3 linked regions of the Tribolium castaneum genome follow. The protein of the gene in region 2 purifies or fractionates together with the protein of the main gene of each other region. This does not show direct contact. Links are inferred from orthologs where the notes say so. Each region holds a gene or a part of one and is shown on either strand. Other genes may lie near its edges. The genes, in order: eIF2Bepsilon, eIF2Balpha and eIF2Bgamma.

Region 1 (11,264 bases), on a different chromosome or scaffold from region 2:
TTAGTTGTGTTTTAAAATGAATTCTAGTGACAACAAACTCGCAAAAACGAACGGACTGTGCCTGAGGTAAGCAATATTTATAAAATACGGTAAAAAAAGTAGATTTTTTAGTGTTAAAAATGAGAAACGCAGTGATTATCTCGAATGGGATGAGTATTTTATGGCCATGACGTTTTTGGAACTGAGACGAGGAGCTCCAGGTCATAACAACAATGCTGCAATTATTCTAAATCAGCGTAAAATAATAATAAGCATGGCCAACAGTTGTCTTGACACAAATAAACACGAGTTGCATAGTATGGTTTTTAGCCAAAAATCAATAAAAAAATTATTTCAATAAATTTTAGCTAGTCACGCTGAATATAAAGCCTTACAAAAAATTCAAGAGGGAAATGTTATGTACACAACTTCGTTTCCGTGTGACAAATGTGCCGAAGCTATTGCACAAGCTGGAATTAAAGAAATTGTTTTTTATCAAAACAATACTGACGATAATATAGCCAAAGAACTATGCGATAAATATGGAATTACTTATAGGTAAGTAATTATTAAACTAAAATCGCATTTGTTACGCATATTTGGGATTTTCAGGCAATTTAACACAAAAAAGAAAAGGATTGAGCTCGATTTTAGCCAATTTTGTGATGATTAAATAAAATAAATAACTAATCACAGTGGCCTATGATTTTGAAATTAAGTTGGCAACTGTCAAATTCACAGGTCACTGTGGTTAGAAATTTAATTTAAAATATTTTTTTAACGATTTTAATAAATACCTGGGGTCATGCCTAAAAATACACTTTTTTATTTTTTTTTAATCATCTTCGGATGAGGAAGCCTCTTCTGCCTCCTCCAGCCACTCAATGAACGGCTTGACTTGCCCATAAAACCGACTTTTCGTATCTAAACTTTTGGACCACTCCATTATCACATCCTCGGTGACAAAATCCTTATCATAGAACCATTTCATGGTGAACATGACCCATTTTTCGTTAACATTTTCGTTCGAAATTGCGACATCCTGAAAGTCGTGATTAAACCAAGCTCAACGACTTGGAAATAGTTACTTCAATTGCTTGCAAACAGTCCAGCATGGCCCCCTCATTGCGTATGTAATTCTTCAGGATCGGAGCAAAGAATGACAATAAACGCACAAACTGAGAGAAATACTGAGCTCCAATAGGAAATCTCAACGACATAATTAAAATAGCTTTGATGACGTTGAAATTTACCTAAAAATTGGACCATCAAAAAAAATTTAGAATTGAGCTTTTGAAAATCAATTACCTCCTTAACTGTGACGTTATAAGCATAACGTGAGGAATTTATTTCGAGAATTAAATTCTCGCAACGTAATTCATCTTCAAAACCTCGTGTTAAGCTGTCTATCACTTCAGTGAAGAACACTAGAAGAAGGTGAGTGAGACTAAGACAGGGGGTTTTGAGGCTTACATTTTGTATCGTCGGGGACTGGGGATTGAGTATAACTCAATTCTTCATCTTCACTGTCTGTGAAAGCTTCATCTTCTGATTCTTCAACAGGGGAATCCCCGATATGTAGCTGCGATAATTTCCGAGATAACGCACCCAAATCGTCATCGTCGGTCTCAAGTTTCAGCCTAAATGCTTTTTTGCCTAATTTGTCTTTCTCCTCGCCTTAAAATAAATAATTCAGTCGGGGAAAGCCACAGGAAAAAACGTACAATTTTCTGGTTGAGTTGATTGGACGAGACTATTTTCAATAAATTGTTCGTTTTCGATTACCACGTCTTTTCCGATAATACTTGAAGCAGTGATCCGACTATTTGCTTTAATGTGGCAGTTTGGTCCTATTACGCTATGAGTGATTATAACATTGTCCGCAATTTTCGTATTAGAGAGAATAAAACTGTGCTCAATTTGTACATTTTTGCCTATTGTTACGTTATCGCCTATAATACTATTTGCAATTTTTTTGTTGTCATTTAGTACGACTTTGTCGCCTGTTACGACACCGTTTTTCAAGTTGTGGGCTTTCAAAGCCGGAGGTTGTAACGGGTAAATCCATTTGTTTTGTAGTTCGTGGCTAAAAATTTATTGCTGTACGTCAACAATTACGAATTACACAGAAATCAGCTTTTGGTATTATTAAACACTTTATAGGATTATAGGACAAAGTGAGTTGAAAATAACGCATAAAATTTACATCTCTGTTATGGGTCAGTTTCAAAAAAAAAAATCAATTTTGACACCATAGCAACATTTATGATGTCATTGGTTTTTGAGTAATGACGTCAATTTTATTTATTTTTAATAGTAAGAAATAATACAGCCATTCCAGAAAAAATACAAACTGACACCGAAATTTCCAAAATAATTTTAGTATTTAAAGCTTCTTTCAAAATACACGATTCGATTTATATTTATGTATTTTGCGACGAGAGTTTTTTTGTTATGGATTTAAAATGGGAGAGGATAATAATATAAATTGAAGTAATTCAGTGGGTTCTAAAATTTACATACCTTGTAGGCGATAACATAAAATACTGTTGACAGCTGAAGTACAACAACAGTTGTGAATAATTTTTGAGTGTTTTTCTAGTTTCTGGAAGTTTAGAAAATGAAAATCGGTAAGTAAATTGAATAGTAATATTACTTTTATATCTTCGTATATTTTGATGTCTCGTTCATTATTAGAAGCATATAAATGTTCTTATTTCTTACGTCGTTAAACAAAACCAATAATTTTTAATTTCCACTGTGTAACTTTGATATTGTTGAAGTTTTTAATAATTAAAACCTGCCTGAATAATTTTTTTAGAGCTATTTTTACACACATGATTCTTTTGTTGCGTCCGTCATGTGTAAACAGAAAGTAAATTAATCAGAAGTCGTTACCTTGTATTTCAAATTTCACAAACGTATGAAAGTCACAAACAGTTGGACTGGTACTAAGCTCCTGTAAAGAAAAATTTACTTCTGCTGATAATGTTCATAAAAACTAAAAATAAAATCAAAAAATTTCTGTAGTGTTCCGTACATTAATATGGAATGGCTTAATAAAAAAAATTAAATCTATTTTTTATAATCTCACGCAAAAGGTCTAATATTTTTGCTATTACCTTATTTTGTAAGAGGCGACCGCTTTTATTATTATTTATAATTAACCCTTTTTAACTTCTTTTTTCTTTATTTATTATTTTCTTTTTTTTTGATTTTTTTGTACCTACCAGAAAAATAAAGGAGCATACTATAAAAAACTCAACATAAAAATGTCAGTTCTTATTAAAAAAAACGTAACTTCTCAAAGAATAGTGACGTCATAAATTACGAGGTAAAATGAAAGTGTAGTATTTATAAAAAAACCTGTTTGACGATTTTATTTAATTTTTTTTGAATAAGCCGTAGCAAGGTGTGAAATTTTATGCTTCACCGTAAACTCACTCTGTATGTTTCTCTTTGCATCTGTTTTTTTTTCAGAATTTTCTACAGTTCCTTATAATTAAAATTAATTAATGAATTAAGTCGCACAAAAATATTATTTCTTGTTATTTTAAAGCAAGCAATGCTTAAATGTTATTTTGGGCAAAAAACTGGTAAAAAAATACTACTGATCCCATAATAAACGTATTTAGGTGAGAGCGAATAACATTACAAATCAATTTCAATTAATTAATATTTTTAATTACTAATTAATATTAATCACAAGAAAAATTCTCAAAAAAACACTGCATATTGAACAATATAATTTAAAACCACAGTTAATACCAAATTCTGAATACTGTGCGTCTATTAATTTTTGAAATATAATAGCTGTTTCAGAACTATAAAAACGCCAACTTTGACCGAATTATTTTTTTAAGAAGATTGATAAAATTGTAAAATAGTTATTAATGATTAGATCTCTCATTGAAAGTATAGACTACATTAGCTATTATTCTTTATAAGTACAGAAATAATTTATATTATAACAGCTAATTTTAAGAAAAAATGCGACGTTGGCGTTTTTATAGTTTTAAAACAGCTAGTAGTAAAAAATACTTTTAGCAAATTCGCTCTATTTTAAATACGGAAAACTAAAAGTATGAGGTGAAACGAGTTAGAACGAGCTAACTTGTTTTTCGTTAATTTAAACTTAACGCAAAAATGTGTGAATTTTGGGCATTAATAACTTTTCCAAACGTTTTCCTATTTTTTATTCGAATAATCTAAATCAGCTCGGATGTGGTGAATTAATTACTTTTTTAATACTTTCATACTGCACCTATCACCTCATATTTTAATCCTCTGTATTGAAAAAATACCTTATTGCTTGATACATCCGCCAGTTGGTAATAGCCCCTCCAAAGTGACTGCCTTTCGTCACGTGACAATACACCGTACTCCCGAGGATTTCCTCATTCATTAGTAAACCCTTGACAAAATCGTCTTTAGACTGAAAGTCAAAATTGTCGGAAAAGAGAGGCAAAACTGACGGAGAACAAATTGCAATATGTGTGTCTTTGAGGTTGTGATGTAGCGACACGTTTGAATTTTCCAGAAAAATTTCCTGTAATTATAATTTTTAGAAAAAAAAAAAAAATTTGGACAAGTTAGGACGTACTAAAGGAAATTCAATTTTTCTGTCTCTGCTTTGCCCCAATTTTCTATGAAATAAAACCCGATTGTTATTATTGACAGCAACGACGACTTCTTCGTTCAAGTCGCGCCCCATTTGCCCAATCCCCGCCTCCTGGTAAATTACAGTCATAGCAGCCCCCTTGTCCTTATTAGCAACCTCACTGCAAGCACAAATTATAGGGAAAAGTACCTAACACAAGTCTAACACCTTTACTTATGTTTCTTAACAATTGGCAACAATTTAATATTGGATAAAGTCCCGGGTTCCAACAAAACAAAATTCCCTCTCAAAATCCCCTTCCTGTCCAAATCCCTCAAACAATCGCCAAACGAGTGGCAACTTTCCGATACGATAACATTGACTTTCATCGTGAGACTCCATCCTGCCTTGTCTTTAACACTCTGACTGAAAACACAAGAATTAAGAGAGCACAGACTGGGGCGTATCCCTACTTTATGTGGGCTTTTATAGCGTCTGTGTGTGAACAACAGAACAAAAAGGTCTCTTCTATGCCTCCCAGAGACAGAAACTCCAAAGTATAATCAATCAAAGGTCTGTTAATTAGAGGGAAAAGTGCCTAAAGAAAAAAATCAACGATTGCATCATCTTTCTTTTAGCGTACCAGAGGGATGTCGGACGAAAGTGGCAAAAACTCATCTCCAAAAGTATCAGCAACAACCACGGCTTGAATAATATCGTCTTTGCTCTTAATCGACATTTTTAATTAAAAATTTTGATTTTTTAGGTTAGCACCAGTCACAAACTCGACTGACAACAAGTGACGCAAGAGGGCGCACTTTTTTTAGCGATTTGTTTGCATTTTCGGAGCAGAGCTCGAAACCCTATCGCCTGGTGTTACCAAAATATTTTTCTGCGGCTTTTTCACATTACATTGATCAAAATTCAAAATTTTGGCGATTTGTTAATTACCGACGCCGCCACCAGGGGGCGCGTGATCGGGGGGCTTCCCTAAATAAATATTCCAGTCGTTTTCAGTGATTTATTTACGTAACAGTATTTACATCAATGTAAACATCATGCGTGCGTCTATGTGCGGCCAATTGTCCCGACTGGGTGTACCTATTGCCGCACACCCCGCAAATGTACGGTCTTTCCCCCGTGTGTATCCTCATGTGACACTTAAGGGTCCTCAAGTCGCCAAAAGCCTTGCTACAAACGGCGCAAAAGTGGTTTTTGACCCCCAGATGTGTCCTTTTATGCGCCGCTAAGTTACTCGAAGTGTGGTATTTTTTCGGGCACAAGTCACAACTGTAGGGTTTTTCCCCTAAAAAAACCCGAATTGTTATTAGTCAAACCACAGTTGGGGATTTACCAGTGTGTGACCTCATATGTATCTGTAAATCAGCGGCCCGCCCTGTGCGTTTACCACAAACCGAACACTGGAATTTCTTCTCCCCTGTGTGTGTCCTCATGTGTGCTACTAAAGCACACCGACTGATAAAAGCCTTACTGCAACATTCGCACTTGTAGGGCCGTTCTTGCGTGTGCGTCCTTTTGTGAATCGTTAAGTACGAGGACGTCGCAAAGGCGGCCTTGCACATAGTGCAAGCGTACGGTTTTTCCCCGGTGTGGACCCTTTTATGCGCCTTAAGCACGAAAGAATGTGCGAATTTTTTCCCACAAGTGTTGCATTCGTATTTGCGTTCGCCGGTGTGGATTTTGTTGTGGGCTATGAGCCCGTGTGGGTCTGTAAATCTCTTACCACACTTGTTACAAATAACCGGTTTTTCCCCGGTGTGTGTCCGCATGTGAATCTTGAATGGGCGCGTTATGGGGGAAGTACCGAAGGTGCTACTTACGTTAAGGTGGCCCGGTTCGAAAAACCGCTTCCCGCAGGTGATACACAAGTGTTTGCGTTCGCCGCCATGTGTTCGCATGTGTTTAGTCAAGCTTGACGATAATGCGAATGATTTGTCGCATTTTGAGCAAGAAAAGGGTTTGTAATTGGTGTGGGTGCGCACGTGATGTTTGAATTGTGTAACCACTAGAAAAAATTAATTGGGTTTTTTGTATCAAACGTGATACATTCACTCACGATTAAACTCTTTATTACAAATTTCACACTTCAGTTTTTGGTTTTTTTCGTGTTTTAGTAAATGGGTTTTTAGAGTGGATTCAAGTTTGAAAGAACGCTCGCATTTGGGGCATTTCAGGGGGTCCGTTGTAACTGGATTATCGATTTGCAAGTCGCTATTTACAATTTGGGGCTCATTTATGCTCACTGTTATGATTTTGTCGCGATTGTCTAACACAGAGTCATTCTTGAATTCAATAATAGTGGAAATGTTGTCACCTAATACTGTTACAGTTTTGTACTCGCCGTAAATCTCCGGCGTAGTGTACAGAGCTTTCCTCAGTTGGGACTCTGCCTTCTGGCATTGCTCTTTAAAACTTATAAATAAATTTAAAGTGAAAATGCAGTCGTTACATATAAAACCGGGCAAACCGTCGTCCCTTCTAACCTAAAATTGATTATTTCATTGCCTGTTTATTTCTAAATGGTTGTTTACATTTATTTCAGCTAAATTTGTAAGAATCACATCAAGAGAATTATCAAATAGAGAACACAAATCTTCCTTATTTTTTTCTGAAAGACATGTCCGGCAAATTTTATTGAAATCTGTTACAAATTTCACAGAATCTGGGTCTGACATGATCTTACTTCAAATGAAACCCAACTTTCGCTATTTTAAGCTGAATAAGCCCCCATTTAAGACACATAAACAAAGGTGGGTCACAGCTGTCACAAAACTGTTGGTCACATGGATGTATTATTGGTTGCATATAATAAACCTAAAATAAAATTTAGACAATTATAAAAATAATATCTTATCTTCAAAAAATCATGCATTGATATCCAGACAAAATATTTTTGCCTAATAATATAAATAAATACTTATAATAATTTTTTAGTCTAAAGGGTTGGTGGTGCTGTTGTCGGGGTTGTTCAGTTTCATTTCAACTGTGCTTTCAGCTATTTCCACAGTTTTATAATCATGAGAGTAATTAAAGTTTACGTTTAGTGCTTCTTTTGCAGAAATACCCAAACAAGTTATTTATATTTTAAAACAAAGGCTCTTCGAGAAAGTAAATAACAAAAAAGCTTTTGGTTTTAAGGGTTGGTAGTAGTGTAATTTTGCTCGGGTCGCGTCAGGTTTTTTATTTTCCGTCCGTTTGTGTTAAAAAATTGTGAAAAACTCAAAGAAAGTGGTGAAATAGTTATTAATAATAGGTACGAGTTATATAAGAGTTTAAACACAAGCTTATAAAGTTCGAGGTTCGAGAGGGCTGTCGTTATGCAGCCAGCGTATGTCAGTATGCAGGTAAGCAAACCCCTTAAACCAGTAGTTCACAAAATTTTAACCGAGAAGATTTTATTATTTTTCTTCCAACCGTTCAGAGAAGAATAACAAAACGCCTTAAGCCTTTATGGTTTACCTAAGAGTAAACAATTTTTTGTTAATATTTAGCTTCTTCCAGAGAATTTTACGGTTTATTTTACTTATTATCTGTTTCAGAACTATGTAAATGCCAATGTCGCATTTTACCAAATAATTTTTTTAATGAGGTTGATAAAAATGTAAATTACTTTGGGTTCACTTTGATAAAAACTATTTTTGGTGGAACTGACTAACTTGTTACTATAACAACTCATATAAAAGTTAATGCCAAGAGTACCTAATTTCCACCACAATGGTTTTTATGAAAGTGAACCGAATTGTAGTTATTAATGATTAGATCTCTCATTGAAACTACAATGTGTGTTTCAATGATTCAACTTTGAAATTGGTTAACATTTAAAAAAATTGAATCCTCTGTCAATAAATGTCAAATCTGTCAGTTATGAAAAAAAATTGGTAAAATGCAATTAAATTGTTACACTGTACAAGAAAACACTTTCATTATAGAATCTTATTTCTGAATTTAAAACTTAATAAATGGAGAACGGTAATATTCGATGTCTAAATCCCTATCATTAGTTCTATGAAGCGGAATTTTCTGATTTTACATGAGAAATTTACAGACGACTAGATGAGAATCATTTAAAAATACATTGTATAAATTACATTACCTATAATTTTTTGTGGTGCATATTTATGCCGTTTATGGCATTCACATAGTTTTTAAACCATCCTATTGTTTTTTCAAACACTTGAATTTTTGAAACTTTTTACTCGCTGGTCCAAAGTTCTAGAGGTCTTAAAAGTGCAAGAAAACATTAATAGAATACATTTGACAAGTTTTGATGACTTTTCTAATTTTTGTCGAGATTTTGGTTGATTTATAGTTTCTCATATACCTTTCCGGAGCATTTATCTGGTGATAACTCCGGAACTATTAGAAGTAACCCCATTAAACTTATTATCTTTGGTTCTTAAATGATTTAATTATCTTTTTTTTAAAAGATCATTATTTTCTGGCTAATAGTAGTTTTCGAAGAAAGTGCTAACAAATGCATAAATAGATTATATTTATGCGTTGATAACTTAAAGACTATTATGAATTGTGCAATTTGCTTGACGCTAATCGATTCTCGGTGCATTTTATTTATTCTACATGGTTTATATCAAAATAGTTCCATTTTTTTAAAAAGTTTTGATGTAAATAAAAAAATTTAAAAAAAAGGAAAAATTTTTAAACACTGAAATGACCGATTTTGAAATTGGCCTACAATCGATTGAAAATAAAACATCTATTTTTATAGATTTTGATGGCGCTTTTTACGATGGAATAAGAGTATTATTTCTCCTAGTCTATTTTCGTCATAATCGTCGTTTGAAAATTGCAATTTTTTTTTTGAGATATCACGAGATATCACTTTGAAACCCAGTAGAAAAAGCAAAATGATTTTAGTAGTAATAATAAAACTAAAATAAATTTTTTGAGACAACCCATGTAAACATTAGTCTTTTTCTATTTCCTAGAATTTATATTATTATTGTAATTTTTTAAATAAATAAAGTTCTTAATTTAACTATAAAATTATTACACTAAGTGAATCCTGCCAGCAGATCAAACCCTGGTATCACAATTACAAATTTTTACTTGGTTGGTTAAATAATCGGTCTTTTTTATTTAAACGCAAACTATACGCCTGATTTATTAGAAAATGGTATAATTTGCTAACAAGGAGATCACTTACCAGTAGCCGACCTTTTTTAAGCGCATTAATTACAGTCTCGCAATAAATTTGACAAAAACTGATGCCTACATTCAATATCGCAACAATTCCAACGCAGTTTTTTACAAACTTACTCCAATAATTACATTTCACATTTAAATTTAAAATTACGAAGCCACAAGTAATAGATAAAAATAATTTTTAAAGTTAAAACGTAAAAGAGCGTTTAATTCAAAATCTGACTGCTATTCTTTTTCGCTAATTTCGTAACAATTACCTATCTGAAATGGATACGCGTAGTTATTAGAATAAAATTCAGAATTAGACTTTTTAGACGAAAATAATTTTTTTAATTTTTGTTTTTGTCTGTAAATAAAAAAATACCAGAAAATATGAGATATGCCTTTCCAATGTACAGTCAGGCGTGTAAAATGTAAAGAATTTTTATTTAATTAAAAATCGCGATTTTCTTAAATGCGCGAAAAGCATCAAGGTCGCCGGGCCACAAATAAACTTAAACTTGAGACAATTTTTTTACATTATTTTTACACCGAACATCTCGGAAAAAAACTGCGCGACATCTTAATTAATTAATTAATCAATTTAAAGTAAGTAAGGAATCGTAGAAAAATTCTAAAACACATCATTGTGTTCAGAGCAACATATTTAATAGGAAACGTTTATTTTTCATTTTTGTGTGGTTATTACTGTTATTAGTGTCTATAGTGAAAATATATTTTTATGCAGGTAAACCCCTCATAAACTGTCTCTGGCTGCGCCACTGTTGAAGCATATGCGATTTTGTAGAGTTTTCAAAGGTACATTTAATGAGACATAACATTTTTCCAATACTTTCAATTTATATTATATTTATATTATATTATATAAAACCTGAACCTGCTTCGGTGAAAGAGGCATATTGAATTTTTCAATAAAAAAATTATAACCCTTTAAGTCCTAGAGCATGTTAATTTGGGAATATACGAAACGAACCGCAAATAAAATCAGAGTTTACTTTTTTGCATGTTTTGCGCCATTTGAAACAATTCCTTTGACCAGATGAGCAAGTAAAAGGCGATTTTTTTTTAATAAATTTATTTTCATTCTAAATTAAAATAAATATTTACAATAATTTAACCCTACTTGCTTGTGGACATTTCTATAAGAAACCCCCAAAGCTCTTTGATCACAATCGAAACAAGAACGAGCTTTTCTCTCGAAAAGCCGCTTGTTTCCTATTCCACCGTCCTAAACTCATTTCTGATACTCTCCCTATTTTGCAATTCCCTGTCTTCGAAAATTTGTGGTTTCGGCGCCATCGTCATCATTTGCTCCATGGGATCGTCGAAAAACGCTTTCCCGGCCTTTTTCTTATCCAAAGAACTCTTCACTGTGATAGTCACCAGGATAATTATAACGACAACAAAGGCAACAACCGCTGCGGAAATTAAGCCAATCGCCAGCGGTGACAACGTATTGAAGTAAATTTTCTGCTTTTTCACGTCTTCGTAGTCTTGCCAA
Region 2 (10,379 bases):
TTGACAATCAGACGACTTTTATAACAAATTCCGCCGAACAAGTAGGTGGTGATTTTAGTAATTTTTCTGGTGTTGGGAACATTTAGCGGTTGTAGGTTGGCACAATTGACACGAAACGGTCATTCACGCAATTTGTCGGTATTTTTCGTAAGCCGTTTCGGCGAAAATCGGCGCCCGCGTCGCCGGTGGCGCCCCCACGTACCAAGGGGAGGAGGGACTCCGCCCCCAGGAGTGAAGGGGGCGATCCTGTAGGTGGTGGCTTGACTAACATTTTCCTTTCTACTAACACTGATTGGCTGATTGACTGGCGAAAAGGGGCGTGTCTTTTTAATCGTAATATTTAGGTTTCCATGACGACGAATAAGTCATTGGTGGATGAGGAGTGGTTTCATGGCGTGCTTCCGCGGGAGGAAGTTGTGCGGTTGTTGACACAAGATGGCGATTTTCTTGTTAGGGAAACTACCCGAAATGATGAATGTCAAACGGTGCTGTCGGTTTGCTGGGGAGGACATAAGCACTTTATTGTGCAAACTACAGCTGAGGTGAGTGGATTTTGAGAGTTTTTGAATTTGGCACCAAAGTATGGGTTGTGTGATTGACGGATTTGCACCAATCGTTGAATTAAGTCAGCTGTCTTAACTGCCAAAATTACAAGTCTGTACCTTTCGTAGTTTTGGAGTTATGAATTTTTTAACTTTGTTGATACAAAAAAATTTAACTTTGACACAATTCAAGTTGGGTTGTAATTATCGCAGATTTACAATTAACGGTTCATTATCCACCACTGAGTTTTTCGGGTTTTTTTTAGGAATTTTTGGGGATTTGAAATTTTTTTGGGAATTTTTTATTTTTTTTTGATATTTTTTTGATTTTTTCAAGTGTGATTTGGCCTTAAAAGCGAAGAAAGTTACATTATCTATACTTGTGCGTAATTTTTTTGATATATTTTTTTTCATATTTTTTTGATGTTTTTTAAATATTTTTTTTGTTTTTTTTATTTTTTTTGATATTTTTTTTATTTTTTTGATATTTTTTTTGATACTTTTTTTTGATATTTTTTTTTTTGATATTTTTTTTTTTGATATTTTTTTTGCTATTTTTTTTGCTATTTTTTTTGCTATTTTTTTGCTATTTTTTTTGCTATTTTTTTGCTATTTTTTTTTGCTATTTTTTGATTTTCTCAAGTGTGATTTGACCTTGAAAGCGAAGGAAGTTACATTGTCTATACTTGTGCATAATTTCCAAAATATTTTTTTTGCCCAAGGAAATTTTTACCAAAGATCGTCCACTTGGGGCCCTATCCGTTTCCAAAAATTCATAAAAAAAACAACGGAATTTTTGGGGAGTTTTAGAGATTTTTTTGTATTTTTGGGGGATTTTTGGGATTTGTTAGGGATTTTTTAATTTTTTTAAATTTGTTTTATTTTTTTTTGATTTATAATTTTTTTGATTATTTATTTTTTTTTGGTTTTTCAATTTTTTTTTGATATTCTTTCTGATATTTTTTTATATTCTATTTAAATGTAATTACAGGTGTTGGTAGATAATGACACAAACTATAAAATTCCAAAGGGGCGTTAAAATCCGAGTTTAAATTATCAAAATACAATATTCCACAAACTCGATTTCTTTCAATCCTGCAGTTACGACTTTACAAATTTTTTAAAAATTTCCTAATTGAGATTTTTCGACAAAACTTGTACGAATTGTAGACAAGACCCGTACCTACAAAGAGCTAAAAAAGCAAACATTTAGAGCCTCGCATTTCAGAATTATGAATTTTTTAATTCGGTCATTTGTGTACAAGTGAACGCCTCCAAAAAACAATTTTTTTGGCACACTTCTAGTCACAATATCTGAACGATTTTTTCGCGACAGGTGGGCCATCCCAAAGCCTCCAAACCGCCAAAAAAGCAAATTCCCCCAACTCATACTTTGGGCGAACAAAATTAATCAACACCACCAAAAAAAAAATCTTTTTTCCAGGGCCATTATCGTTTCGAAGGCCCTGCCTTCCCCAGCATCCGTGACCTCATCCTCTACCAATACACGAGCGGCTTGCCGGTCACGGGACGTTCGGGGGCGCTCCTCTATAAGCCAATCCCGCGCGAGCGCTGGGAACTAAACAATGATGATGTCGTCTTATTGGACAAAATCGGTCGCGGAAATTTCGGAGACGTCTATCGGGCGCAACTTAAGAACAGCAACGACGTCGTTGCTGTCAAAACCTGCAGAGTGACACTTCCAGAAGACCACAAGAAAAAGTTCCTTCAAGAGGGCCGAATTCTCAAGCAGTACGACCATCCAAACATCGTTAAACTGATTGGGATTTGCGTACAAAAACAACCAATCATGATCGTCATGGAGCTGGTCCCCGGGGGTTCCCTGCTCACTTTCCTCCGGAAAAAAACCGCACTCACAGACGCACAATTGATGAAAATGTGCTTGGACGCGGCAGCTGGAATGCGTTATCTCGAATCGAAAAACTGCATTCATCGGGATTTAGCCGCGAGGAATTGCCTAGTCGGTAAGTCAGGGCACTGTGTAAAAAATCGGGGTTTTACCCATTTTTCAGGTTACAACAACGTGGTTAAAATCTCCGACTTTGGAATGTCACGCGAGGAGGAGGAATATATCGTTTCCGACGGCATGAAGCAAATTCCCATCAAATGGACGGCCCCTGAAGCACTCAATTTCGGTAATTCCCCCAATTTTACAAAGTCGCAGTCACATTTCCACTTTTAGGCAAATACACGTCGCTTTGCGACGTCTGGAGTTACGGTATTCTCTGTTGGGAGATTTTCTCACGTGGGGGAACCCCCTACAGTGGTTTGAGCAACTCAAAAGCGCGGGAAAAAATCGACGCCGGTTATCGAATGCCGGCACCTGATAACACACCCGACGAAATGTACCGTTTAATGCTGAGATGTTGGGAATATAAGCCGGAAAATAGGCCCAATTTTGAGCAAATTTATACAGTTGTGGAAACACTATGTGCCGCCTATAGAGTGTCATTCCTGTGATCAGAGATTGCCAATATCAAGTGTGCTATAATTACTGTGATTGTGACGTTGATAAACATTTTATAACTTGTATTTTATTGTAAAAAGTTTGACTGACTTTTGAATAAACGTTTTATTTAAATGGCGCGCTATCTTATCACCGTGGAAAGGCGCCCAGGGGCGACCAACCTTAACCACAAACCCGGTTTTTTCAATTGGAAAATAATTGAATGAGGTGCCTGTAGTTAGCGTGACTCTAGTGCCAAAAAACTTTTAGATTTTGTTACAGGTAATAATTTAAAATCAATAAATTTTAAAAAATTTGGTGGGGTAACCTTAGCCACAAACTGTCAATTTATTAAATTTATTACAAGTACAATTTGATTAATTCGTCGCTGACGGCGCTCGGAGTCAAAATCCCCAAATCGGTGAACAATAGAGTGATGTAAAACGGGGGCGTGTAATCCACTAAGGGATGAATTTTCTTAAAATCCCTCTCATCAAGTTGACGCGCACTTGCAGAGTACTGTAATACCAACACTTAACCCTAATTATTTTTACGCCTTCCTACCTTATACTCCGGCGGTAAATCCCCCTGATTTAGTGGAAACAGGCGCGAAAATTTAAAACTCTCCGTCAGAACATAGAAGGGTTTTTTCATTTCTTTAGCACAAACGGCCATAGTGTAACTACCAACCTTACAAAACGAAATTAACCAAAATCAAACCAATAGTGTTATTTTTACTTTATTAACAATCCCCCCACTTTCCACAACCCCCTCGGCCCCCACCATGACAAAATCAACCTGTTCCATCACATAACCAATCGCAGAGTCGAGAATCAACGTACAGGGGATTCCCACACTAGTCAGATTTTTGCACATGACGTCCCTGCAACGTGACGTCAAGCCAAATCGTACAAAATCGGGGATTTACCCGCTGTTATCAGGCGCGGATTTCGTGACGTAAACCTCGAATTGTTTGCCTTGACGTGACGCCTCAATCAAAGTTTGAAGCACGACACGTGACCGTGAATGTGTGAGGACTTTCTACAAAAAAATGGGGGGTTTACACACCCACGACCTTGAAACTTACAGAACCGTCAGCTATGAATTTTGTGGCCAGTTTCACGATTTTGGCACGGCATTGTTTCAATCTGTTTAGGAAAATGTTGCCACGTTCGAGCATAACGTTACGACATTGCTCAAAACTCTAAAATTTCATTTACTTGGGTGATAATTAAATTTTTTTCTATTACATTGTAGTCAAGTTTTGCCAACGTTATGAAGCGCATAAAAAGTTCGCAACCGGAATTTATCGCGGTGACGGGATAGTCGGACGTTTTTATTGCCAAAATGCCCAGTTTTAGGTTCTCGTCAAGGCCCTGAACCGTATTGTCTGAAAAGTGAGGTTAGGTTTTTGTGGCGTTTTATTTATTTTAACCTTGATATTTTTCGATGATTTTCATGAGGGTCATTATCGCAACAACCCCCACCGACAGGTCCTCATTTTCGGCGATTGTTTTGTCGAAAAAGGCCTTAACTTCTAAAAAAAGGGCCACATATGTGACTTGAAAACGCCCAAAACTTTGCAAAAGTGTAACATTCGTACCTTGCTTATCCATTATTATGTAAATAACGTGGCCTTAAAGCCAAATTATTGTCACAATTGTGTTTATTTTCAAAATTAAACAATTGACTTAACCTCCCTTTTCGCTTGACTGGTCACTGCCTTACCGACGTGGTCTTGGCAGTGGTTAGAGTCACGCCCGCCGTGTCTTACACCACCAAAATAAAAACAATGTGTGTGTTTGATTTATTGGGTCTTTGTTTATACACTTAGTATAACGTTTGGTTTAAAAAAACATGCCCGAATTAAATTATGGGGGTCGTTTTAAATTCGCTTGTAGATGTCGCTTTAGCAACATTTTTCGGCCAACCAATCCGCGGGCTTCATTCCGGTCACGTGTCATTACCAGACCAACTTTATCAATTGTGTAGTTGATGTGGATTGCCCTGTCATCGTTCAGTTTTTTTTGGATTATTTTGGCCTAAAATTACCTTTATGTGAGTATAAAGCCCTCTTTGCATGTCTTTGTGCCCCCTTGTTATGAAATTGGGGCCCTGGGAGCCCCCTTTTGGCCGAAATTTGCGCAATATGTTGGGCCAAGTTCGATAATTGTCTGTCGCCATTTTCCTTAGTACAGTTACTTTCTGCTTCATTGTTAGTAGGCGATGGGCCCCCTTGAGACTGCACCACCGCTAAAAGGGGGCTGTATGGGGCGGTTTTCCCCCATTTTTAAGCCCGTATCGTGCGATTAATTATGATTGACGTGGATATTTTTATTTTTGTTGGGGGATTTTTGGCACGTTCTCAATTTCCGGAGTAAACAAATGAATTTGATCGATTTTTTTTTCGGTTGGTAGCCTTGACGCGCTTTCGAAAAACCTTGAGATTTTGGCAAAAACTGCGCTTTCGCTAATTAACGACATGTCAAAATCACGTGACTTGCATACAAGCCTACTATGACTCAAAAAAAATAATTTTTTTTTTCAGGTGTGAACACCACCAACTTTCTTCGCATCATCTAGTATGGTGAGTGTTTGAATGATATTTTTGGGGGGCGGCAAGACCGCCCCCCGATCGATAAGCGTCGCGTCTCATCCCCTTTAAAACGGTGGCGGCGGCGAGAGTGAAACCGCCTCCACCGCCGCCGTTATCGATTCAAATACGGTCCTGTATTATCGATTTGGGTCCGGTCCTGTGAATAATTGGGCCGCAAGGTCGAATTATGCACCCCTTTATAAATAGGGGAAGATGGGGTTTTCGAGGTCAATGAACGCGTGTGCTAGGGGAGCGGGGGTAAATTTGGACGCGTCGTCGAAGGTTAAAGTCAAAGTTCGTCGCCACCAAAAAAATAATAACGAAAATGCGTTTTAATGCATGCACGTGTTAATGTAAATAATAAATATTTTTGTTTTTTTTGCTGGTTTTTCGCATTGGACGGTTGTCAAAATGTGGAGGCGGAGTTTGGTTGGTCACGTGTTGATTGAATTTAAACTAGTGGGTGGGGCTTATTTAAATTCGTACTTTTTATAAAAAATGGGCCATGACTTGTGTTTTTTATTTCTACGAACTAGTCGTTTACATTTAACGCCACCTTTAAATAGAAGCTCCGCCCACATCTAAATAACAACAAATTTCAAGCTTACTAGAATTTTCAAAATTGTCAATTGTCAATATTCAAACCTAGTATGATTTTATCAAAATGGTGACTGTTATCAACACGTCCGGTACCATCTCTTAAATTTTTGAAAAAAATCACAAAAAAAGGATCAGCCTGAATATTTTGCATTAAAAAAATTATCCACTGTTATTTTTGTACTTTCAGGATTGTCAAATGATAGTAAATTTTTGTTATGCTTCGAAGTAGCTCCACCCCTTTTGTTGTTTTTCAAATTGGCTACACCCTTAAAAATGACAATCTCCACCCAGAAATTTTATATCAAAGGAATTGATTATAAACTGCTTAAATATTGTCAAATTTAAAAAAACGTAGAAAATATTCACAATAAATCGTTGTCTTGATGTTGTCGAGAACGCAAAAAACGATTTTCTCGATTTTTGCGCACCCATCAGCTGACAGACAACGAACAACGTGGAGAAGGTCGTCGTGCATCCGAAGGTCATCGTTATTTTTCGACACGTTACTTAAATTCCGAGACAAAGAATCAATGAATTTGACCAAAAAAAACGAGATATACACCTGTCATGACAAAAAACCCGGAAGTATAGGCATTTTAAAAATAATCTCCGCGTTTGTTGATCTAGTAGACCGCGTCCATTGACCTTGTACGTTCGTTTGTTTCGTTTTCAGGGGGCGAATTTTTGGTCTAAGCAAGTCGTGGAAAAATAAAAATAATGTGTTTTTGCGCACCGTTTTAAATACAGTCAACACTTGACTCGGCAACTTTCCAACCTAGTCGGCCATATTGTATATGTGTCTCATTCATTTGTTGTCTTTCTCTTGCACATTATTGGTCGTTAGGTTGGCACGTGTTGGACGAGTTGCGCAAACGATTTGATTTTAGCGATCTAGGGACGTGAACGACGTCAGTCGTGCGTTGGAAGTGTAGAAATCGAGTAGGCTTGGCGTGTGGTAAAATACGCGGAGTGTTCTTTCACAATTGTTATCTAGTGTGTGTTATTATCCATTATTTTTTTTATAAAATTGGTGACTAAATAATAACAAGTGAATGAATAGCTGCAGCTAAGGGGTTGCATTTTTTTCGTTTTGTTGTTTGGGAGAAAAATAAATAAAACGAATGCCGTGACAGGTGAGTGGGATTAATAATAAAATAATAGGGTGGCGACGGAAATGCCAACTAGATCGGGGTGAAAAACTTTGTTGTGACGTCATCAATGATAGCTGTTATCTTTCGAATTTGAACCCGATTGAATGACAAATGAATCACGTTTCTTGTGATTCGTTTTTGTTTTGGAATGACGTAGCGTTGTCGTGACGTCACGTCAAATAATTGTTCACTTGGCTGTACTTTTGTCCTTTCTTGTTCTACGATGTGCCAAAAATAGTAATAACGGTAATAATAATTATGAAAAAAAAAATATTCCGCCCTTGAAAGGTTAGTGACATTAGAACGCATACACGTGCGTTTTTTTTACGGGTAAATATCCGGAAGACGTTGGGGTTTGTGGCCTTTGATGTGTGACCTTGCCGTTCGGAAGGTTGGCAAGACTGTATATGTAATTAGATGTGTCTCGGGGTTTTTGGCTCGTTTGTGAGTAAACGTGATTTGTCTATTTTTGCAGGTCACGTGGGGGGAAAATGGCGACGTTGTGGCCATTTTTTTCAATTATTTTTAATTTCGATGTCTTTGTGTCAAAAACATTTGTTTTTGTTGTTTGAATTAATGTGAAACAAAGCAATCGTTGACTTTTGACATGTCAAAAACTAAGCAATCCTTGTTTTTTTGCTAAACCTTTGTTTAAACATTTCATATTATTACAAGTTCTAATAAAGAACTATTTATCTGAAAGTTGGTACTTGGCTAAAATCCGTTGAGTTCTGCTCAGTGAAAATATTTTCAAGATGACGGCACTTCCGGTTATATCGGAAGTCGCTAAAAACTTTCTTATTTTAAAAAGTTACGTTTTTACTGCGTTTTTTGATTAGTTGAGTTATTTCAAGGCCGTTTTTGTCAGTTTTCCCTCTACCTAAGTTTAACCGTTTTCGAGATATTTAAGATTTTCTGAAAATTTTTAGACTTGGACAACTTCAAGTACTTTAACATTGGAGAAAATTTCTAACTAACCACAGTTATTTTTGCAGTTTGTCAAAGAAACATTTCTGTATAAAAATCTCAATATGACCACTGGCCGCCATTTTTTTAATGTAAAAAGTAATGTGAAAATGATACGAAATTACCAAATGGTATTAAATAAGAATTTCCTTCTCGTTCGAAAGCGATGACCTTGAATAATGTATACCGGGTGACCTAGTTTACGCCGTCTCTTGCACATTCAATTACCGAAAAAAGAAAGCTCGTTATACATACACACACTCCACGTGTATTCTTTTTCCCCTCATTCCTCATTTTATTATTTTTTTTGTGAATGAAAGCAAAATAATAATTATAGGACACACTGACTCGTATTGCCATAATTTCGTAAGGTTGGTATTATTGCAAAACGTAGATTTCTCGCGCAACAACAACGGTTTAAAATTTTGTTTATGTACATCTAAACGAGGCTTTTTGCGTCATCAATTAATTATCATAAGTGAAATATTTTTACTGTACCTGCAAGGTAACACGATGTGTCATCAAAAATTATTTTAAGGTTATAGTTAAATCATGACAATAAACGGAAGAAGAAAGTGTATTGAAATAAGTGGATCTTGTTCTACTTTACGTTACGGTTACGCAATCGAAAGATAAAACAATTTTTCACACGATCTTTTCGGACAAGTGGGACAAATAACGGAACCTGCTTGCTGAGTTTTTTCTGTTTATTTGGATTATCTCTTCCCAAAATTTTATTTTATCAGTTTTGAGACGTAAACAATATTTTTATCGCATTATTCTAGTCTATAATGATATGTTGTTGTTATTATGGCACGTGTTGAGCCGACCTTTTATACATTTCTTGGTTTGGTAAGGTCACGTGGTCTGTTCATGGTACGAAACAAAACAATATATACATGGTGGTGACGACATAACAAAATCTTACGTCATTTGAATAAATCAAGTGGGCCGTTTCCGCCGTTCGATTGTTTTTTTGTGTGAATTTCATTGGAAGTAGACGACGGCTGCCGCCGACGACATTCACTTGTTTAACGAGAAATTTAGAGCACGTGTCGCGGTCGACCGGTAATAAAACAAACGAACATCGATCGTTGTTGTGACGTCAAAAAACCTACAAGTTGGGTCTGAAATCGATTTTTTTTGTTTTGTTTCAGATAAATCCATCAAGTATTGTTTCGTGACAGGGTGTCCACTCGACTCGCCGCCAACTCGGACCCTAATCACGCCATAATTTTAATTTTTTGATTTTTCCGTTTTCTTTTCTTTCTTCTTTTTCTTCTGATTTTTATCATTCATTTTTTTGTAATCATAATGGAGCGCGAATCGAATCCAATGCAAGCGCTTTGCCGTTCCGGATGTGGATTTTATGGAAGTCCGGCAACGGACGGTCTTTGCTCACTCTGTTACAAGGTAATTAATATGAAAAAGACAGATTATTTCATTTTTTTTTCGGTGTTTTTTTGTTTGTTTTGTTATAGGAGGCTCTCAAGAAAAAACAACAACTTCCATCCACTCCTACAAGTCTTAGCGCCCTTAGGGACACGGCAACGGCCCAAACAACAATCAATCATCTAACGTCTACCCCCGTTTCGGAGCTTTCGGTTGAGGTAGGAGAAAAAATTATTTATTTAGTTCGGCTCTAATAGTCCTATAAATAATTGAGAACTACATATTTTTTGTATAAAAACTCCCACATTTAGATTTGAAAGTTTGTTAGATCTTTATTGGACTATTGAAGTGACTTTATATAGGATGGTTCTTTTATTAGAACCTATATTACAAACTTTTAAAGTAGCGTTTTGAAATTTTGTATACGATCCAAATCGATCATTCTGAGTTCAATTAAATTATTTATTATTATTATTCTAGCTATATTAGAAGTTAAAAGTTTGTAATGTTGGTCCTAAAAGAATCTATAACAACTTGGATAAAATAATGAATATAAAGTTTTGTGCGATTTTTTGACATTGCGTTACTTGGTGCGGTGTTTTTTTGTGTGTGTCAAAATTCGTAGTAATGTCAAAAGATCATTTGTCTAGCGAAAACGCACCGGA
Region 3 (11,264 bases), on a different chromosome or scaffold from region 2:
GACGAATTAAAATTTAATTGCAATTTTTTGCAAACCGGCCTTAAACCGAATTTAGTGACTCCAATTAAGTATTTTAACTGGATTTATTTCGTATTTTGTTGATTTATTTCACATATTAACAAAAAAATATACAAAATATAAAAAACGATAAAACAGATTTTATTTTTTATTATTTAAAATGTCTTCACAGTACAAACTTTTTTTTCAAGTGCCATCGCGTGTCGTGATTTTCCTCATTTTTGCCGAAAACAAAGCTTTTCTCAAGGACCTTCGATTGCAAAAAAATAGTGAACCGACAATCACTTGTTAGGGTCTTAATCAATTTTTTCAGTTTCTCAAAATAATTTCACATTAACTTTTTTTTCAAATGTCATTCTGTTGGTCGCTGCCAAAAAGGCCTTTGACTGTGTATTTTATTTATTTGAATTTAATTTAATCCAGAATTACATTAAATCTGAATGACGAATTAAAATTTAATTGCACTTTTTTGCAAACCGGCCTTAAACCGAATTTAGTGACTCCAACTAAGTATTTTAACCGAAATATGTAAAATTAGGAAAGAAAAGTAGGTATTTTGACTGGATTTATTTCGTATTTTGTTGATTTATTTCACATATTAACAAAAAAATATACAAAATATAAATAACGATAAAACAGATTTTATTTTTTATTATTTAAAATGTCTTCACAGTATAAACTTTTTTTTTCAAGTGCCATCGCGTGTCGTGATTTCCCTCATTTTTGCCGAAAACAAAGCTTTTCTCAAGGACCTTCGATTGCAAAAAAATAGTGAACCGACAATCACTTGTTAGGGCCTTAATGAATTTTTTCAGTTTCTCAAAATAATTTCACATTAACTTTTTTTTCAAATGTCATTCTGTTGGTCGCTGCCAAAAAGGCCTTTGACTGTGTATTTTATTTATTTCAATTTAATTTAATCCAGAATTAAATTAGGAAAGAAAAGTAGGTATTTTGACTGGAATTATTTCGTTTTTTGTTGATTTATTTCACATATTAACAAAAAAAAATATACAAAATATAAAAAACGATAAAACAGATTTTATTTTTTATTATTTAAAATGTCTTCACAGTACAAACTTTTTTTTCAAGTGCCATCGCGTGTCGTGATTTTCCTCATTTTTGCCGAAAACAAAGCTTTTCTCAAGGACCTTCGATTGCAAAAAAATAGTGAACCGACAATCACTTGTTAGGGCCTTAATGAATTTTTTCAGTTTCCCAAAATAATTTCACATAAACTTTTTTTTCAAATGTCATTCTGTTGGTCGCTGCCAAAAAGGCCTTTGACTGTGTATTTTATTTATTTCAATGTAATTTAATTCAGAATTAAATTGAATCTGAATGACGAATGAAAATTTAATTGCAATTTTTTGCAAACCGGCCTTAAACCGAATTTTAATGACTTCACTTAAGTATTTCATCCAAAATATGTAAAATTAGGAAAGAAAAGTAGTTTTTTTGACTGGAATTATCTCGTATTTTGTTGGTTTATTTCACATATTAACAAAAAAATATATACAAAATATAAAACTCGATATAACAGATTAGAAATATTGATGATAAAATCGATAATAAATCGGAAGACGTCGAGTGAGTCATGTTTTTCGTCGAAATCACGCTAACGTTGGCGATTTTTCCCGCAGATGGCGCGGACCTGCTGGTGGTACTACTTTTCGAAGTTCACCGAATTTTTCGACACTCTATTTTTCATTTTGCGGAAGAAAAATAGCCACGTGTCTACTCTCCATGTCATCCACCACGGCTGCATGCCGTTTTCGGTCTGGATGGGGATGAAATTCGCGCCAGGTGAATACTTAATTTTTCCTGCTGTTCCAAATTTGACTGAAACGTTTAGGTGGCCACAGCACGTTCTTCGCCTTGCTCAACACATTCGTGCACATCATCATGTATTTCTACTACATGGTGGCGGCCATGGGGCCCCAGTACCAGAAATACATCTGGTGGAAGAAATACCTGACCACGTTCCAGATGGTGCAGTTTGTGGCGATTTTCACCCACCAGTTCCAGCTGCTCTTCACCGAGTGCAATTACCCGAAGAGCTTCATGATTTGGATCGCTTTGCACGGTGTCATGTTCTTATTCCTGTTCTCCGATTTTTACAAAGTTAGGTACACCAACAACAAGGCTGTGAAGAGCAATAGCGGCGCTTGCATGGTGAGTTAATTGATGGCATTCGGTTCTTTGTGAGTGATAAGTTGTTGCAGCCGGTCCTCGAGGATGAGAAGCAGCAAAACGGAACGGTTACGAAGTCCGACAGTAACGGCACTCTTAACAACACTTACATCAAAAGCGAGTATTCCGATTCGTACAAAGCTTGCTACTCGAACGGCAGCACAAACGGCTTTGTGAGCCAAACCGTAATAGAGCGCAACTCGAAGAAGATCAACTAGGTTTTAATTTCAGTGGGTACAAAAGGACTCGACTTTTGTTTAATTGTAGACTTATTTATTAGATAGTGTACGATTTGTTGTCAAAATTTCGTATCTCAGGGCGAAATAATTGGTTTCTTTTTACTTGATGTATTATATAAGTTTTTACGGCTGCAGGGACCATTTTCATTGCGTCAAGTCGCTTGATTTTTTCATTTCATCAGCCATTAGTGCCTGAATTTTTACCACGTTTCTTAGCTTTAGCTTATTGTTAAAGTTTTGCACTTTGAATCGTTGCCGGTTGTTCGTACTTAAGAATGTTTTATTACGTTTTCGTATAATTTATCGGATGTTTTTTATTCAGGGAGTTGCACTCTGCTGCGTAAATTCGGCGGCTCTCTACGTCTTTTCAGATAAGTAAGTGTAATGGAAGCTGTATCACTGTAATTAATGTCGTTTTATTATCATTGTATATAATACATACTACGCGTTTCTTTAGATTTAAAGTTGTATAGTATTTTTGTATATACTTATGAATCTTGAGAAATAAAGTGGAAACCTGCGTTTTGCAAACGGAGTTTCTCTCCCTCTCCTTTCCCCAATCCAAAAAAAATCGCTAAACACAACACGAGAATTGTTTAGAACACGAGCGAACACAGTGAGCACATAAAAATATAAACAACGTATTTAAATTTAAAAAAATATGAAAATAATAAGTTTTTTCCAGCTTCTATTAATAAAATGCTCATTTTACATATTAAATCTTATTATCAATACAATAATTTAATCAAAAGGACAAATAAAATGAATCGAAAGAATGAATTGAATGTTTACAGCAAAACTTTTATTCACACTGTTATTTACAGCACGCACAAAATAAAAAAATTAACATTGTATTCATTGTTTTGTTTCATTTTTCTCTAACTTTTGCCAAAACTATTGTTTTAATAATGTTCATGATCTATTTACAGAAACAGAATTAAACTTTAATCCAGGCGGGTGTCATTTTTATTAATAGGAATTGTAAAAAATGTTGTACGTATAATTTATGTAAATACAAAAATTTTATCCACTCAAAAACTAAACTTTTTTTAAGTGCATAAATTCGTCGTTATTCACATTGTACCATAAGTAATAAGTAATAAGTAATAATTTTAAATTTTCGTAAAAGCTTTAATTTTCAGAAGTATAATTTAAGTTCTGCAAGTATTTTAGAAATAATTCTTGATTTGTTTTTATCAACTTGCTAGTGAGAAACAAGGATTTGTAATAATCCATGCGAGTAAATTAATTGTCTACATCCATGAACAAAAAATTATAGTTTGAACCTCTTTCAAACATATATTATTTTTATTTTTTTTTCTATTAGTATTAGTATTCGAGTTATTAGCATAATAAATTAATATTCTTAGTACTATGCACTCGTATTTATTTTACTATTTTCTGACTTACACTTTTTTTTAATTAAATTATATTTTCTTCCAATAATTTCTCCAAAACGGACCTTTATAAATATTTTGAAAATGTGAAAAAGTACTTATTTTTGGCAACTACTGCACCGTCACCGTTTCTATTCGCAACTCAGGTCGTTAATTAAGCGTGTTCTTCATTTTTTGTACTAAGATTGAGGAAAATTTGCAAACTCTTATCGTCTTATTTTTTGTGCAAAAAAGTGAATACGTAAAGGATTCCATTTCACCGAACACAAAATCTCGAATATTAGCTCCTTTAATATCGATCGAAAGCAAATGCAGATATTTCCAGAATTCGATGACGCATTTATGAACTTTGCCGACCATCAACATACGTAAAACCCAAAATTAACTTTACCCGAATGGATTTCGAGAATTTCGCTAAATAGACATCGTAAAAACTTGCCGAATATTTTAGCACTTTTCGCCTGCTATTTGCCAAATTTTAACCACAGAATCAATTAGCAAATAGACGATTTTTTGCTTACGAAACCGAAAAAAACCAAGTAGTTCACATTTGTATTTTATTCGTAAATTATGTACAAAAATAAAAATTAGAATTCCATCAAGCGGTCCGAATCCGTGAGCACCTCTTGACTATGTTCCGAATTTTCGGGCACTAAGTGGTGACTGCCGATCAAGCAGCCCTTAATCTGACACCCCTTCTCGATCGTCACTCCATCCGAAACTATACAATTCTCCAACGCCACCCTGAAACACAATTGCCACACAGGCCACACAATGGAAACCCACTCACTTCTCCTTAATCGTCACATTATTCATAACAATGCAATTAAAAACCCTCGAAAAACTGCAAACTTCACTGTTAGCCCCAATAACCGAGTTCTTAAACGAGGTTTTCTCGTGCAGTTTGGCTCCCTCCCAAACAACACACTTATCGTCCACTTGGCTCGATTTAATCTCACTTTTGGGGTGTCTGAGGACGAGGCTTAGCCCATTTGTGATTTTGTCCCACCTTTCGCTGACCTGCAACGCACACTCTCAAGGGGGCTCACAACGGGCGAACTACCACGTACTTTGCTATTAACGGCCCAGTACGTCGCTAAAGTGTTGACTCGCACCCCGAACGAGTCTCGGGGGGCTATCAAGGCGTAGCACCGGATGCTATCACCGTGATACGTGGGTTTGGAGTCACCGATATGGTCGTTGTAGGACGAGGACTCCCTTATAATAATACTGAAAGGGTCCTCTTTCGCGTAATTAAAAATGTCCTCGCTGTCGCATTTACTGACTATTGACTTGCCCTCGGCCCCTTTCGGGGGCTTGGAGAGCTGTTTTTTGACAATGTGGGGCAAGAGCTCGCCCTTGATTGTTGTAAAGTTCGGCTGGCTGTTCAAATATTTGACCACCCAGTTTTTCAAAACGTACACGTGCGAGTCGACCAAATTGCTGTACATTTTAACATGAGTGTGTTTCTTGAGCAAAGAGCGCGGTAGCGATAATTCGCTCTCGAAATCGCTCGCGGACGCTAAAAACACCAAACGGTTTGTTTGCGCGTCAATCCCGACCAAATCGCGCTCCGGCTTGTGTTTGGACTTGGGGCCCGGGATTGTTAATTCGCCCCCGTGAGGGTGGAAGAACAAAGACGCGACCGAGGCATCGTGCATTCGGAACACGTCCAAAACGCCTTTTAGGCTAAAATCAGTGATAAAGTCGCACGAAATTACAAGAACGTCGGACTTTAGCCGGTCATGGAGGAGTCTGAGGGAGTCGGCGGTGCCTAAGTCCTCCTTCCCGCTAACGGGGAAGTAGTCGATTTTGATCTCAAGCTCGCTTTTGTCAAGCGTGGCCTGAATCTCGCTTTTGTGATTCTCTAACACGACAAGAATTACGTCTAAAAGTCTGGTAATTATGAGATTTCGAACGGCCAGCGCACGTACCTGTGAAACCGGACTGCTGCAGCTTGTACAAGGGGTACCAAACGAGGGGCTTCGTCCCCACGGGCAGCAGACACTTGGGCTTGCCGGAGGTGATCTCGGGCATGCGGGAGCCCCGGCCGGCCGCCAGGACCACGGCCTGGAACTCGGGCTGAAACATTCTTGCAAAAACACACAAAAATATGTCACAAAACTTTGCAACAAATGTGTGGTTATATCACACCAATGACAGAGGCACCAACATAACAAATTGTTACGCTAAATAAAAATAATTCATTTGAGCCCCTTATAAAACTTTAGCGCATTCCTCAAGACTGAATCGTGAACACGGTCGGAACTTAATACCCGGTGATATTAATTAAGCTCGCAATTACGCTCAAATTGTCTCAGTTTTTGCCACCACGTTGGTGTTACTGTCACACGTCAACTTTGCGCAAAAACTGTTTATTTTGGTCGGGTCGGTTTTTTTGTAAATTTTGGGGCCAACTTGTGTTGAAAACTTTTTTTGTGTGTAATTTAGTGTCTTGTGATGGGGCGCCGCAAGTCGAAGCGAAAACCGGCGCCGAAACGCAAAGCTGTGGAGCCCCTGGACCAGCAGTTCAACTGCCCTTTTTGCAACCACGAAAAATCGTGCGATGTTAAAATGTGATTGTTTTTATAAACCGTTGGGTTTTATGGGGTAATGTGTGTGTTTGTAGGGATAAGGGTCGAAATACGGCCAGGATAACGTGCCGAGTGTGTCTTGAAGACTTCCAAACTACTATCAATTTTTTATCAGAGCCTGTGGATGTGTACAACGATTGGATAGATGCATGTGAATCTGCTAACTGAGGTTTTTATGTAAATGTTTTATTAGGTACAAATAACACTTTTTTATTATATCAGTCTAGGAAAAAATGTATTGAACGAGTGGTTTTAAAAGTAAATAAGTCATATTTAAAAGTTTTTTATTCATCAGATCAATTAACAAGAAATCTTAGACACCTAAAGCGTTATCGTTATTTTATGAGAATAAATATAATTTGTAACAATTGAAACAACTATGAAAATGAATATTTTTGTTACACGTTAATCGAGTGGTCTAATTTTTTTTATTTGAAAGACCCAGTTCTTTTGAACAATTTGTAACATAAAAATTTTGTATCGGTCTCGGTTTTGGAGTGAAAAAATAATTCAAGTCGATGTGTCAAAATTTCAGGCGTTTGCCCATTTAATATTATGGGTGGTGGTAAAAAATGTCTTAAACGAGTGGCTATAAAAAGTAAACAAGTCGTATTTAAAAGTTTTTTATTTATCAGAGCAATTATTAACAAATCTTAGATACCTAAAGCTTTAAAATCGTTATTTTATGAGAATAAATAAATAATTTGTAACAATAGAAACACTCATGAAAATGAATTTGGGTTTAAAACAATATACCAGAAATAAAAGGTACCACAAAGTCCTTGACAGCACTAACAAATGTACAAAAGAATATACGACTAGCCCAAAGCAATAATTAAAGCAATCTAAATGCCGTTTTTATAAATAACTTTCAACTATCTTAGCACTACCTAGTTATACACTTATCCTATAGAAAAAATATCAATCTCTGAATATAGCCAATTTGTCCTATGATTAAAAAATTGTTGAATCTTCCAAGATACTCTTTTTCACCAATACAATACAGATTATAATAGTTCAAATCAGTAGAAAAATATTGTTTTTTATCTAGTTGGAATAATCCGTAAGGAAACCAAGAGCTACTCTAGCACATTTCGCAGAAACCTTGTCAACTTAAACTATGGCGAAGAATGATCCAGTCGGTAAATGAATCAAGGAACACTCAAAGAAAACCAGTTACACATCGCAGTGTATAGCAGCCTTAGCGTGGTGGTTTAGCACTCAAGCAGCATCTAGTAGCACATGAAGAGTTTAAAACAAGCGAGCTCTACGTTTTAGTTCGTTCCTGCGCCATTGGGGTAGTCGGTAGAAGTCGGTCCGCGAGACTTGGAAAATCGCCTCGAACTCGGCGTCCGACAGATGTCGCTACAAAAAATTCCAATCATCTGGTCACAAAATCGGAAAAAGTATTTTACCTCAAGATTGCATCTGTCGACATCAGAAGGCAGTCTGTAATTAGTGATCACAAGCAAGTGGTAAGGGTAGATTTTGGCCGGTTCGTTTATCAGCATCGTGTGGGCCATGTTTGGAAGGGACCGTCGCACTTGTGATGAGTACCCGCCCGGGTAGCGCCCCAGGGCCCCCATGTAAGTCGCCGACACGGGCATTTCGGAATTCTAGCACACAACACAGTTACGAACAAAAACCGAAAACTGCGCCACCACCAATACAACTAACCGGAAAAGCAACAAATTATGCACAGGGGGAGCCCCAAGACAAGCAGAACGCTTCCTTGACTCACCCCCAAAATTTCACCGGAAATATGAACAAAAAATTGTAACAGTTAATTTACTTTTTTTTGCATATCGTGCCTGAATATAAGATGACAAGACTAAATAAAATAGAGACAGAAAACACAAAAACTTAAACCACAGGCTACCACAGTCACTCAAAAATAATTACTTTTAAATTTTTTTAGTTGGTTGTAAGAAACTGTATTTAAACAATTTCGTGGTGAAAAGTTTGGTGAAAATGTGGCTATAAAACTGTTTTGTTGCTGGATGTAACCTCAACCAAAGATTATTTTACCTTGACCCCAAACTAACTAAAGGCAAATAATAAAAAACGAGAAAAAGTGTATTATCACAGAACAAAACGCTTGAAAATTAAGAAGCCGTTATTTGGAGCGTTACACAGAAAAGTTAGATAAAGCATTATTTACATACCAGAGCACGTCTTTCAACATCCGTGATGGATCCAGTGGAAACTGAAGAAAAAGCATTAACTTAACATTCTAGCTTATAAAATATGTATTGGAAAAACTAGCCTAGAATTTCGTTCGGTACAATCGTTTCGATCGATTTCGGACGCAAATCATGCATAATAAGCAATACGGTTTTGAAAAACAACCAAAGAGAAGTAAGCAGCGTATTACTCAAAAAAAATTGTTAAAACTTTTCTCTCGATCCCACCAAAGTCACCCGAGTTTTCGGTGCGTAAAAATTTCAGAAAATGTGTCAAAAAGCCGCTTAAAAGCCAGTTTCTACTGATAAACGATGAAATACTTACTGTCGGATTTTCCACAACTGAAGTCAGTGCTATGGGTTTTTGCACCCATTCCGCTAAACGAATAATCGCCCTGTGAAGGAGGAACGTAATTAAACATCCGAATTTCCCGATTTTCGAGGGATTAGAAACACACAAAACATGCGATGAATAAATACAGGATGACAGGACGACATGACTAAGCTAGAGAACGAGACACGAAAATTTAACCAGTTGAGGGAAAAACATGAAAAACCTTCATATGAAGGGTGAAGCTTTAGACAAATCAAGTGACATGACGAATTCACAAATATCGGGTGTTCGAAAAAATACCAATTTTCTAAACCTTAAGGAAGGAACCAACGTGAAAGTCTTACGAGTGACAGAAAAAAATTCCGAAAATACAACAGCTAGTTTCATTAGTATACGAATATTTCTTCTTTTTTTAGTAGAATTTATCAGTTGATTTATGATACAATAACCAAAAACAATTTAAATCACTTCAAAATTTCATTATCAAAATAAAGGAGAAGTTCTTTTTCAATTACTTATAGGTTTAGAGCATGTAGTGCAAAATTAATATTTTTGAATATCTGACAATTTTGCAATGTTGTAACAGTAAGCTAATAAGACTCTTGTCCCCGTTTTTGTAAAAGTCTTTCTAATTATTCTTAAGTATTGTTTCTAAGATTTTTTTTAATCTTCTTTGATTTTTTTTAAAGATCGGAAATCTGAACTTTTCTTTAAATTGTTCCTGTTTTTTTATACATCCATCTCCAGATTTTCTTATAAATTCTTGAGATGCCGCTTTACTATGATTTTCTGAACTCTACTCAAAATTATTTTATAAACATTTCTTTCCACTCTCCTAAGTCTCTTTTAGACTGAGCCTTTTCAAAATCCGTTTCGTTTAGAATTTTTTAATTATTCTTTAGTATTATTTCTGTACTTTCTCTATATTTTTCTTAAGATTATTCTCTGAATTTTTTAGGTGTGTTTAAATTTTTTGAATTATTTTGTAATAATAATATATATTTGGTTACGACATAGCAACATGTGTAAACCACGTCAAATAGTATACTGCAGGCGGTATTCAAAATTCCTTTATAACCACTTCTTTCTTCTACACTCTACAATTTCCCTTTTAGATATTAGTCTGCGTCTTCTCGAAATTCTTTTATATTTTCATTTAGAATTTTCCTAAATTACTATTTAACATTGTTTCTCTACCTACTCTTCCCTAGATTTTTCTTAAAATTATTCTCAAATTTTTTTTGAGTTTGAGATCTGGATTTTTGTTTAGATTATTTTAAATTCGTCTACAGATTTTTTATAAAGTTTTCTTCTTTAAAATTACTTTTTAATCAAAAAAGCAAAATTATTTAATAAATGCTTCTACAATTTTCTACATTCTTCAAATTGTCTTTTAGACTTTAGACTTTGCATCTGTTCAAAATTCTTTTTTGGTTTTTGATATCATTTTTAGATTATTTTTCACATCGTTTCTGTACTCCGTACTAGATTTTTTAAAAATTTCTCTTCGATTCTTTGTTTGTTTTTGTTTTTTTCAAGATTATATTCTTTAGAATTTTTTCTACACTTTCTCTACGTTTTTCTTAAGATTCTTCTTTAATTCTTCTTTAATTTGAAAATTTGAAATCAGGACTTTTCTTTAGATTATTTTAAATCCGTCTCCAAATTTTTTATAAAGTTTTCTCCTGTAAAATTATTTTTATTCTGCAAAACTATTTTATAAACACATCCACAATTTTTCTTATTATTCTTTAGCATTATTTCTGTAGAAAACTTAACATTCTGAAAATACAGTTGACTAATTCTAACAACTATCCTTATAACTATTAACAAATTATTTTATGAGGAATAATATTCTCTAAAATTTTTTTACATGAACTTAGTTTTCAAATAATCTAATTGTAGTTAACGGTTATTTTATAAGCAAATAATGAAAAATGAAGGCTAAAAAAAAATCTATTCGCGATTAAAATTAAGACAGGTGGTGAATTTTGACCGCGTTTTTCTGCGATATAAAGTTTGAACCGATTTTTCGTGCACCCGATACAGTTTCAGACGTGCACAACGACCAATCACGAAAGCATGCCTAGGGTCGCACTTACAGGAATCTGCGGATAACTACCCGCCGATGAACTGAATGTATGAGATCGAGGCGCCAAACCATAACCCGGCTTAGGAACATGTCGCAGAGCGCTCACAACTGCGCAGAGGGAAAGTGAAAATACACAAAAAATGACACAATGAAAATGGAAGAGCGTGTGAGACCGCATGTTGTGTGTTTTCGACGTTTGCGAATTTATCAAAAT

What was found.
Region 1: the proteins of eIF2Balpha (region 2) and eIF2Bepsilon purify together in Homo sapiens (affinity purification with mass spectrometry; 7 studies listed by BioGRID and IntAct, counting the BioPlex papers as one, with this or other methods). This does not show direct contact. The link is inferred for Tribolium castaneum from reciprocal best matches to the Homo sapiens genes EIF2B1 and EIF2B5.
Region 3: the proteins of eIF2Balpha (region 2) and eIF2Bgamma purify together in Homo sapiens (affinity purification with mass spectrometry; 7 studies listed by BioGRID and IntAct, counting the BioPlex papers as one, with this or other methods). This does not show direct contact. The link is inferred for Tribolium castaneum from reciprocal best matches to the Homo sapiens genes EIF2B1 and EIF2B3.

The regions. Positions count from the first base shown.
Region 1 is NC_087402.1:10,478,663-10,489,926, reverse strand, and holds eIF2Bepsilon (translation initiation factor eIF2B subunit epsilon), read right to left. Parts: upstream 5,399-11,264; 5' UTR 5,319-5,398; coding exon 5,223-5,318; intron 5,178-5,222; coding exon 5,053-5,177; intron 5,006-5,052; coding exon 4,814-5,005; intron 4,761-4,813; coding exon 4,583-4,760; intron 4,529-4,582; coding exon 4,284-4,528; intron 2,066-4,283; coding exon 1,704-2,065; intron 1,657-1,703; coding exon 1,453-1,656; intron 1,407-1,452; coding exon 1,288-1,406; intron 1,233-1,287; coding exon 1,068-1,232; intron 1,022-1,067; coding exon 815-1,021; 3' UTR 750-814; downstream 1-749. Other genes in the region: zinc finger protein OZF, read right to left, coding at 5,605-5,885, 5,934-6,605, 6,657-7,083, 7,132-7,275; arylsulfatase B, read right to left, coding at 10,979-11,264. UniProt on the Homo sapiens protein: Acts as a component of the translation initiation factor 2B (eIF2B) complex, which catalyzes the exchange of GDP for GTP on eukaryotic initiation factor 2 (eIF2) gamma subunit.
Region 2 is NC_087400.1:173,993-184,371, forward strand, and holds eIF2Balpha (translation initiation factor eIF2B subunit alpha), read right to left. Parts: upstream 4,778-10,379; 5' UTR 4,626-4,777; coding exon 4,613-4,625; intron 4,547-4,612; coding exon 4,445-4,546; intron 4,400-4,444; coding exon 4,260-4,399; intron 4,214-4,259; coding exon 4,097-4,213; intron 4,051-4,096; coding exon 3,938-4,050; intron 3,893-3,937; coding exon 3,748-3,892; intron 3,700-3,747; coding exon 3,574-3,699; intron 3,529-3,573; coding exon 3,370-3,528; 3' UTR 3,310-3,369; downstream 1-3,309. Other genes in the region: tyrosine-protein kinase Fer, read left to right, coding at 1-41, 96-248, 345-542, 1,987-2,527, 2,576-2,698, 2,746-3,023; drn (AN1-type zinc finger protein 6), read left to right, coding at 9,637-9,735, 9,804-9,932.
Region 3 is NC_087395.1:21,887,216-21,898,479, reverse strand, and holds eIF2Bgamma (translation initiation factor eIF2B subunit gamma), read right to left. Parts: upstream 6,078-11,264; 5' UTR 5,939-6,077; coding exon 5,782-5,938; intron 5,736-5,781; coding exon 4,918-5,735; intron 4,868-4,917; coding exon 4,638-4,867; intron 4,592-4,637; coding exon 4,435-4,591; 3' UTR 4,391-4,434; downstream 1-4,390. Other genes in the region: very long chain fatty acid elongase AAEL008004, read left to right, coding at 1,662-1,824, 1,874-2,193, 2,244-2,429; transcription elongation factor 1 homolog, read left to right, coding at 6,308-6,423, 6,477-6,609; Unc-115a (actin-binding LIM protein 3), read right to left, coding at 7,693-7,806, 7,857-8,057, 8,607-8,647, 8,950-9,019, 11,061-11,158. UniProt on the Homo sapiens protein: Acts as a component of the translation initiation factor 2B (eIF2B) complex, which catalyzes the exchange of GDP for GTP on the eukaryotic initiation factor 2 (eIF2) complex gamma subunit.